2 linked regions of the Coturnix japonica genome follow. The protein of the gene in region 1 purifies or fractionates together with the protein of each later gene. This does not show direct contact. Links are inferred from orthologs where the notes say so. Each region holds a gene or a part of one and is shown in the gene's direction. Other genes may lie near its edges.

What was found.
Region 2: the proteins of PTPN1 (region 1) and ABCD3 purify together in Homo sapiens (affinity purification with mass spectrometry; 3 studies listed by BioGRID and IntAct, with this or other methods). This does not show direct contact. The link is inferred for Coturnix japonica from reciprocal best matches to the Homo sapiens genes PTPN1 and ABCD3.

What each region holds. Positions count from the first base shown.
Region 1 is NC_029535.1:12,162,795-12,167,154, reverse strand, and holds the start of PTPN1 (tyrosine-protein phosphatase non-receptor type 1), read left to right. Parts: upstream 1-1,517; 5' UTR 1,518-1,537; coding exon 1,538-1,681; exon of another isoform or gene 1,682-4,360. UniProt on the Homo sapiens protein: Tyrosine-protein phosphatase which acts as a regulator of endoplasmic reticulum unfolded protein response. Mediates dephosphorylation of EIF2AK3/PERK; inactivating the protein kinase activity of EIF2AK3/PERK.
Region 2 is NC_029523.1:11,763,818-11,768,176, reverse strand, and holds the start of ABCD3 (ATP-binding cassette sub-family D member 3), read left to right. Parts: upstream 1-1,522; 5' UTR 1,523-1,588; coding exon 1,589-1,704; intron 1,705-4,359. UniProt on the Homo sapiens protein: Broad substrate specificity ATP-dependent transporter of the ATP-binding cassette (ABC) family that catalyzes the transport of long-chain fatty acids (LCFA)-CoA, dicarboxylic acids-CoA, long-branched-chain fatty acids-CoA and bile acids from the cytosol to the peroxisome lumen for beta-oxydation.

The sequences.
Region 1 (4,360 bases):
AACACGATGGCACTCAAAGTCATAGCAAGCAGATGGTGACATCCAAACTATTAACATGGAAAATATGTCACCTGATGAGCTGTATGAGAACATAACCACACATCAGGAAATCTGTGCTCTTAGTAAAATGTTTAGATTTTTTATACCATCAGAAACATATATCTATTTTTCCATTTGCACCTCCTTTTCACTACTACCACCAACGTTCAGTTTCCAGTCTGCAGCTTCTTTTGCTCCTGATCCCTTTTCACCATGTGAAACCACTCACGTTGTGGCCTTGATCTCTACAGGGCCACAGCTGCACAGTGAAACCAGCCTCTTGTGGCTGCAGCTGTTCTCTAGCTGATTGGGCAACCCAGCACATGGCAATCCACACCACTTCCATGCCAGTCCCTTTCTCTGTCTCTCTGAGGATATAGATTCTCCCTGTGCCACATGTTATATCCATAGGCTACTAAACCCACGTGTCTTGCTGTTGCACAGCACTCCTTCCATCAAGGGCTTGGGTTTGCATGGCCCTGCATGAGATGCATCACTGCAGTGAAAATGCTGTGATCCTGCAGCAGCCAGGGATTGATGCCATTTCCCACAGTCATAGCCCTGAAGTGCCCTGGAGCAGAGATTGGTATTTGTGTGTTGGATGAAATGTGCTGCCGTACACTGACAAACTGCCACTTGCTTTCTTACACCCCTGTACTCTGAGGGTCCTCTGTTTGTTTCCTCTTCAGCACAGCCTGCAGGGTATTGTCTGTTCTCACGAGGAGGTGAGGCCAAGTGGACCGCCTGCTTCACCTGGATTAGAAACCACAGGAGGGCTTACTCAGCAATGAAGCAATGCCATCACCTCGAACGTGTTTTGGAGAGCTATCCTCACCAAAAAGAGGCCAGAAGTGCTCCCCAACAGATTCTTCAGTGTAACCCAGGGCTAATAGTTGAATTGTTGAGTCTTACATGATGCACTGTTAGCAAAAACCAAAATGAAGACAAATGAACCTTCCATATGAACAACCCCAAATGCTGAACCAAAACCAAACAGAGAATCAGAACTAGGAATGCCTGAGGTGTAACAGCAAAAGGACACGCTGGAAGATCAGCTCTGTATAACAAAATGTTACAGTTCTGCTCAAGAAAGGGGATGTTAACGTAGACTAATGGCACAGATACGTACAGTCAGTAGCATTAGGTGTGGTGACTGTTAATAGCAAGTTAACAGCAGTTGGACGCTGGAGATGCCGCCTGCTACAGCTGGCTTAGTGACTACAGAGCTGCACTCAGACAGCACAGCAGCAGCATGGATCGTATTTGCAGGCAGCTGGATTGCTATTCATGATGTTGGCTGATTTAACGCAGGTAATCTCACAATGCTGAATTTTATCAGAAATGCAAACTAAAGCTTTAACGTTCCTAAGCTCAGTAACTCATTTCCCGGCTCCAAACCAACACATCTCGCTCCCCCTCCAACCCCGCGGCTGCGGCCGCCCCGGACGTCGCGTCTGGTGTCGGGCTGCGTAGTTCCGGCCCAGCAGGGCGGGGTGAGATGCGGAGCGGGCAGCCCGGGCCGAGGCAGCAGCAGCTGGAGCCGGAGCAGCGGGGCCAGGCCGGGCGCGTTGTTCCGGCCATGGAGATGGAGAAGGAGTTCCACCGGCTCGACCAGGCCGCCAGCTGGGCCGCCATCTACCAGGTGAGGGGCGGCCGCCCGGCCCCGCTCTGACCCGGCGATGAGGAGCGCTCTGCTCGCGGCCGTTCTCCGCTGCCGCCGGCTCCGCTCCCCCAGCGCCTGCCCCGGCCGGAGCTCCAGGCGGGCGGCGCTGCGTTCCGCTGCGTTCCGTTGTGTTCCGCTGCCTTCGTTCCGTTTCGTTCCGTTTCGTTCCGTTTCGTTCCGCTGCCATCGCCCATGTCGCGACTTTCCGTTCCTCCTGTCCGTGCTGGATCACTCGCCGTTCCCTCCTTCCCTTTCCTCGCGGCGCTCAGGGTGGCTCGGTGCAGCCCAGGCCCCGCCGCTCTCCCCGCCGGCTGCCGGCATCGTCCCTCCGCGTCGCGGCCGCTCTCGGCCTTTGGAGCTGCCGGTCCCATTGTGAGCAGCGGGTCCCGGCTGTCATTGAGCTCGGTCCGTAGCGATAGAGCGGATCCGAGGAGCAGCTGGCTGGTGACGCTCGTGCAGTTATATTGTGGCATTTGTTATTACTTTGTAACGAGCCAAGTTCTGGTGTTGTTATTGCAAACACGGATGATTCTGAGGATGCTGGCAAGGTGGATCCAGGTTAACACACACAGCTGTGAGCAGGTCTTCTGCCTCCAAAGAGCTCTGTGTGTTTATCCCGGAGGTGTGAGGGGAGCTGCAGCTGTGTGTGATACTGTGATGTGCTCAGTCACATCAGACAGCGGACATTAGAAAAAGGGCAAAAAATGAGTTTTTATGAAAGTGAAATAAACGAGCTCCAGCTTCACAACAGCAGCATGTGAGCTGTGAAAGCACCAGCTTGCAGGATGGGCATCTCCTGTTGGTTGGCAGTGGGAAAATAGACATTTTTCTTATGAAATCTTGATTATCTTTTTCAGAGAAGTCATTTTTTTTGGCAGAGGATTTCATTTCCTGCAGAGCCTCAGTGCTCGCTAACTCTGTATTGGTTGGAAGTCATGTGCTCGTATGATGATGTGTTTTTGTTAAACTTCTCTTGGTATTTTGGTCTGTTGCAGGCTGAGCGCTCAGGAAATGATGTTGAGTAGCAGCGCTGTAATGGAGGTGGTCAACTTCCAGGGGTGCAGTTTAATTACTGAGGTGGAATCCATAAGGAGCTGTGAGGTTAATAAGGAACGAGGGCTGTGGCATGTTTCCAGTGCAGCATTTGGTATATTTTTTCCTGCTTTCTCTGAATGATGTGACGCAGTCTCTGCTCAGACTGTCACAGAGTGAGGTTTGACTGAGGACTGATATTCAAATTAAAAGTAACAAGATGAAGTGATTTGCTTCCAGTTGTAGACAGGCATGAGAAGCTTGTATTTTAAGGTTTCTTGCTTGTATTTTACGGTTAGTAAGTATGTGCTTCTGCATCACATAACTCAGTTTCTACTGCATCCTTCTTTTCAGTATCAGCTGTTTTAAGTGACATGGTGGCAGATCATATACATCTAGAACAGCGTACCTCGCTGTAATCCATGCTTGTGATGTCTTGGCAGTGACATGATCAATGCAGTTTTCCAACAAATACCAATCTTTGCCTGAAGAATGGAGTTAAGTGGAATAATGTTTCTTACTGGCACAGTCTCTTCTTTCTAAAGAGTCTTTCTCCGGGTTAATTATACCATGTACTTCTACTGTGTAGGTGGTAGGATCATGATTGCTAAAATCCAGATGTGTTCACCAATGTTCTGAATGAAACATCACACGGTTTACTATCAGAATCGCTTCCTCTTGTTTCTGGGCTATATCATTGATCTAGAGATACAGCTGACTTTTAGAGGAGGCATTAGGAACACAACAGGGAGGTGAATCTGACTGCAGGGGTGGCTGTAAGGAGGTCTGTGTGGATGCCACATGACTTTGAAGGCATAACATTTTCCAAGCTTCTTTTTTTTTTGTCCAAGAGGAAGCTGTGTTCAGCTGCAATAATCACCCGGTTCTGAAAGAATGGGAGTACCAGGAGGATTGAAATGCATTCACTCTGGAGATGTCACAACAAAAAGCAGGAGCCGAAAGCTACGAAAAGAAGGTTCAGGAGAAATTTCATTGCAGCCTTCCAGCACTTGAGGGGAGCTTAGAAACAGGATGGAGGACGACTTTTTACTGGGGTGGATAGTGATAGGCTAAGGGGGAATGGTTTTAAACTGAAAGAGGGGGGATACAGGTTTTCACTTGACGTAGTGAATTCAGTACCAAATTTTAATGGTAATTCTATATGTAGAAGTCTTCAATAATTTTGATTTCTAACTCCTTACACACGTTGGTAGAATGAGATACTATCTTAAAAACACAAACCTCAAATACAGGTTAAATTGCTTCTTGTGTTTACATAAACCTGGTAGGTTGATGTTAGTATGTTGGCTAATGATATTAAGTCTGATGTGTTAATAACATTAAAGAGATCTGTGAATTATTCAGCGTTCAGCTAGGAATCCCATGCAAAGCAGACACTGCAACCTGCACTAACTTGATACTGTTGGTTTTCACTGAAGCATCTATGACATTTTCTCGACGTTAGTTTTCCACGTGAAGGGTGCAGAATTTGTGCTGTAGATTGCAAAATAAGAAAGAACTGATTGTCATTTAGATTTCCAGGTCTGTTCAGAATGGGGAATATTGGGCGCTGTACTGGCTCTGTTGCTGTGCCCCCCCGTGGAAAACTGACGTATGTTACAGTTA
Region 2 (4,359 bases), on another chromosome or scaffold:
TTCCAGTTGACTTGTCCCAAGAATGCAGAGCACACAAACTGACCTCAAATTGCAGAACAAAGGAGGAACTTCTGTCACAAAAGCATTTGTCGGTGTGGGTGATTTTACCACGAATATGCTCATCCATAAGTCTTGTTGGAAACTGATGAAACAATGGATCAATAAAAACCTTGTGTTTTGGACTAAGTGCCCGCTTATTAGTTCCACTACAAAGTTGTTGGTTTTTTTTAAATAAAAACCAACAGTGAAAAATGAAGACAGTAGATTAAACAGCGAGAGAACTCGACACATGAGACAGGTTTCCTAGCAGATGAAGGGCTTTTGTGAAATTATTTAAAGACAAGGTAGAAGATGAACAAAATACAGGATCTGGTACTGAGTAAGCTCAAAAAGTGGGGTAAGGACAGAAGATAAACTTAGCAGAGCACAAGTCATGCAAACAACAAAGGTCAGCGTGGCCTAAATAGACAGACATTGTATGTACACGGTGCATGGTGTTGGGCTATATTTGAAAGATAGTTCAGTGGAAGGGCATGACCAACCTAAGCCTATGGAGGAAAGAGGATCTGTAGAAACTTACAACCATGCACTGCTTTTGATCCCAGCACAGACAGAGATGAAAAGTGGCAGCAAAACTGCACCTCAAGGAAAAATTCTAGACTTCCACCTTCATAATGATATGAATCTAAGAAATTTTATTTGATGAGGATATTACCTATTTTTAGCTTTTCTGATTTACCTGCTGTCTAAATATCTAAAACTTCAAAAAGACCCCAACAAACACCCAAGTTTGGCCTCCAACTCTGAGCGGTACAGAGAAAAAATTCTGATACACAATAAACTTCATCATGTTTTGTGATTCTGATGCATATTTTTCAGGTGATCAGAATACACGTGGAATAGTTTACCTCAGTTCCCCCAACAGACACCAATGTACTGATGCTTTTAAAGCAGAGAGATGACCAGGCTGTGCAAGACACAGAAGTCAGTGCCAGGGAACCAGCTCTAGCAGCCCTTTCTCCTGTGCTCTAGAACAGGCAAACAACTGAATGTTCTGAGACCGCATTTCGGCACCAAGAGACAAACTTGTCCCAAGTGCGATGGCAGCGCTGCTGGCCTGGGTGTTTGCGCTGGGACAGCTCGGCCTGGCGGACTGCTACTGACTGCGAGGGAAAAGCACCTACGAGTCGAACAGGTTCGGCGGGGGCGGGCCGTGAGTTTCTGCCCGGGCAGGGGCGGCTTTTCTATACTCACACTGGTAACATGTTCCTCTGTGTTGAAAGTTAAACTTGGCAGCTCCTCTCAGGGCCCTAAAAGAAAGACAGTGACGTGAAAGCCTTCCTGGGAGGCTTATTTTGCGCTGCCTTTACCCGTGTATGACATTGGGGACTCACAGGGGCGTACAGCTGCACAACGAGCCGCCAGGCCGAGGTGCCGCAGGGACGAGACGGGAGCGGGGCACGCTGCGCACAACCTCCCTCCGGCCGGCGGAGGCGAGGCCGGCAGCGCCCCGCCCCTCGTCCCGCCATTCCCTGCGCCCTCTCGGCACGGCTCGGTTCGGCTGCGGCTCTGCGGCAGCGCTCGCGCCATGGCTGCCTACAGCAAGTTCCTCACCGTGCGCCATTCCGCCATCGTCGGCGGCACGGCGGCCGCCTGCGCGCTGCTCTGCCTGCTCAACAAGCGGCGGGCCGCGGCCCAGCACGGGTGAGCTGAGCTGAGCTGGGCGGGGGCGCGGCGCGGTGGGCCGGGGGCGAGCTGCAGCGGTGCGTGGGGACGGAGCGGGGCCCGGAGGTCGGTCCCGGGGCTCTCCCTGCAGTGAGGTCCGCTGCCTCCACCCTCGGGACCGTCTCCTATAGAGGAGGCGGCATCCCCTGCCCGTGGTGTGGCGGCACGCCCCGGCTCCGCTGCTCGAGTTGTATTTGTTTTCTCAGTTTTCCCATCTGTGAGCTACTGCTGAGAAAGAGTTATACGTTTAGGTTTGTCCTGTCTGCACAGGTAATAACGGGCGAGGGTTATTCTGGTGCCGGCACGCCGACAGCTGTAGCAGCGATAGAGGCTGCTTGGGTTACCTGTGAGGGTGTCTCACCTGTGTGTGTGTGTGTGTGTGTGTGTGTGTGTGTGTGTGTGTGTGTGTCGTGTGCTGGCCCCTGGGGAGCAGCCGGGTACCAGAACGTGTGATGGGTGGTGAAGATGCTCCAGGCTCAGTCCTTGTGTGGTTCTGGCAGATCTATGGACTTCGGTCGCTGGCTGCGTGCTAAAGACCTGGCATGTACAGTTAGATATCGTGTAATTGCCATAACCTGATCCTGGTGCTAAACAGCGATGGTGAAATGGACTTACTCAATAGACTTAAGTAATAACATACCTGTAGTTAAGCAATGACTTAGTGTTATTTTACCCAATTCCTTTCATACAGGTGTTATCTTCAGAGCTTTCTGATGTTAGGTAACTTTGTCATATAACATACATAAAGTGTGAGCAACACAGGGCTTCTTGGAATTTGCTATGTTACGTTATTTGTGTGGGAATGGAAACGAGATCCTAAACTATCATTGATGGTTTGTTCTTCTGCCCAATTCATAGGCGAGGGTGATATATTCCAGTTATCTCTGTAAAATTTAGTCAAACACCATTTGTAAAAATGTGAAAAGCTTTATAGATGGGCTTGAAAGTGGTAAGTTGAGAGGGTTACTGATATGTACTATAAGATTTTCCTACTTATTGCATTGGAATGGTGTCTGTAAGGAAGACTGGGCCAGGTAGATGTTCTGGGAGAATTTGTGTTCGTACTTCAGACTGCAAATATGCTTTTGAAGTGAACAAATTGTCCACACTTCCCTTGCTTTCTCTTTATTGAGGAGTGGACTTAGTGCACAGTCTTGGATTACGTTCAGTTTGAAACGCACCTTCAACTGTAGATTGAGGTCCATTTAATATACTCCTGAAATACATATAATGTGGCTCCTGGATTGTCCCTGAACTGTCTCTGTTGCAGGTTTCTTGATGTTGCTCTGCTGGACTCAACAAGGACAGCGCCTCTATTAGCTGAGAGTGAATGCGGTGAAACTAAATTCTAGCTTGAATATTGAAAATTGTGCCTGGAATGCATTCCTCCTGTAGGAATCTTATGATTTTGCTACATACAGTGTTAAAAATCTAAGTTATTTGTACATACTAGGTGGACTACGTGCTATTATAATGTTATTGTCTGTTGCAAAGTGGAGATGATTCATACATTTAGCAGTTGAATGGACTTGAGGTGGTCTGACCTGACGTGACCTATCCCTTTTCCTCTATCTATACTACAGTTATCCTCATACCTCTTTCTTACTGCTGTAATCTGCCTCTCTTACACCATTTTGCTTTCTCAAATCTATTAGAAATGCAGTTTCTAAAATAAGTACCGTGTTTGCCAACCAGTTTGTACCTATGCAACTACTGCTTTAGGCTTTTGAAGCACTCTGTTGCATAGCCCTTAATACTGCTGTTATGTTGGGGCTGTGAATAACAAGCTCTACATCCACCATTCAGTTGTTTCATGGCCAGCTATGCTGCTCCTTTTTGTAAGGATGAGATTTGCCCATTGGTCTTCCTTCTTTTCTCCATTTTTCCTTGTGAGGCCAACCTTGCCAGGAGCATTACAGAATGCTGCCTATCAAGAAGAGGCAGTAAGCAAGTTGCATTGCCTACACCACAAAAGCAACCACTTATTACCATTGCCTCATCCTCTTTTAGTCTTGTTAGTTTATGTATCATTCATTTCCTAATGCTTTGTTGCTAACATAAATTATAGCACACTTTGGGAGCGACTGTCGCTGTGCCAGATTTTTCTATTCCAGCATACTTGTGCTGGTATACAATACTGACATACAAATAAGCGGTAAAACTTCATGTGTGTGTTAATTATGATAGGGAATAGTCAGCTAAAGAAACTATCGCAGGAGAAAGAGACAACTCTCACCTACATTTCTGCTGTCAGACAATAGGGACAAAGTCCGGTACAACTCATATCAAGTAGTGAGGTATGAATAATTAAGCTGGATGTTATGCTAGCCTACCTACTAGCCTAGTAGGTCAAAGATCACTTAATTAGTGTTAGTTGGATTAGTCACAGCTGTTCTGCTGTAGGACCTGTTACATTGCTCATCAGTTGTGCAGAACTGAGAGGTTGTATCACCTACAGCTGACAGTAAATTTTAACTAAACATTTCTAAAATCCTCAAAAATAGCTCAGAATAGAACTGTTGGCTTGTAGGAAGAAGCTCAGTTGTATTCCATGTTATTTTCTGTGCTTTAGTCAAGGAAGCAAAAATGCCCTGTTTTTCCATTTGAGTTGCTCTCATCAAAATAAAGTCTGTT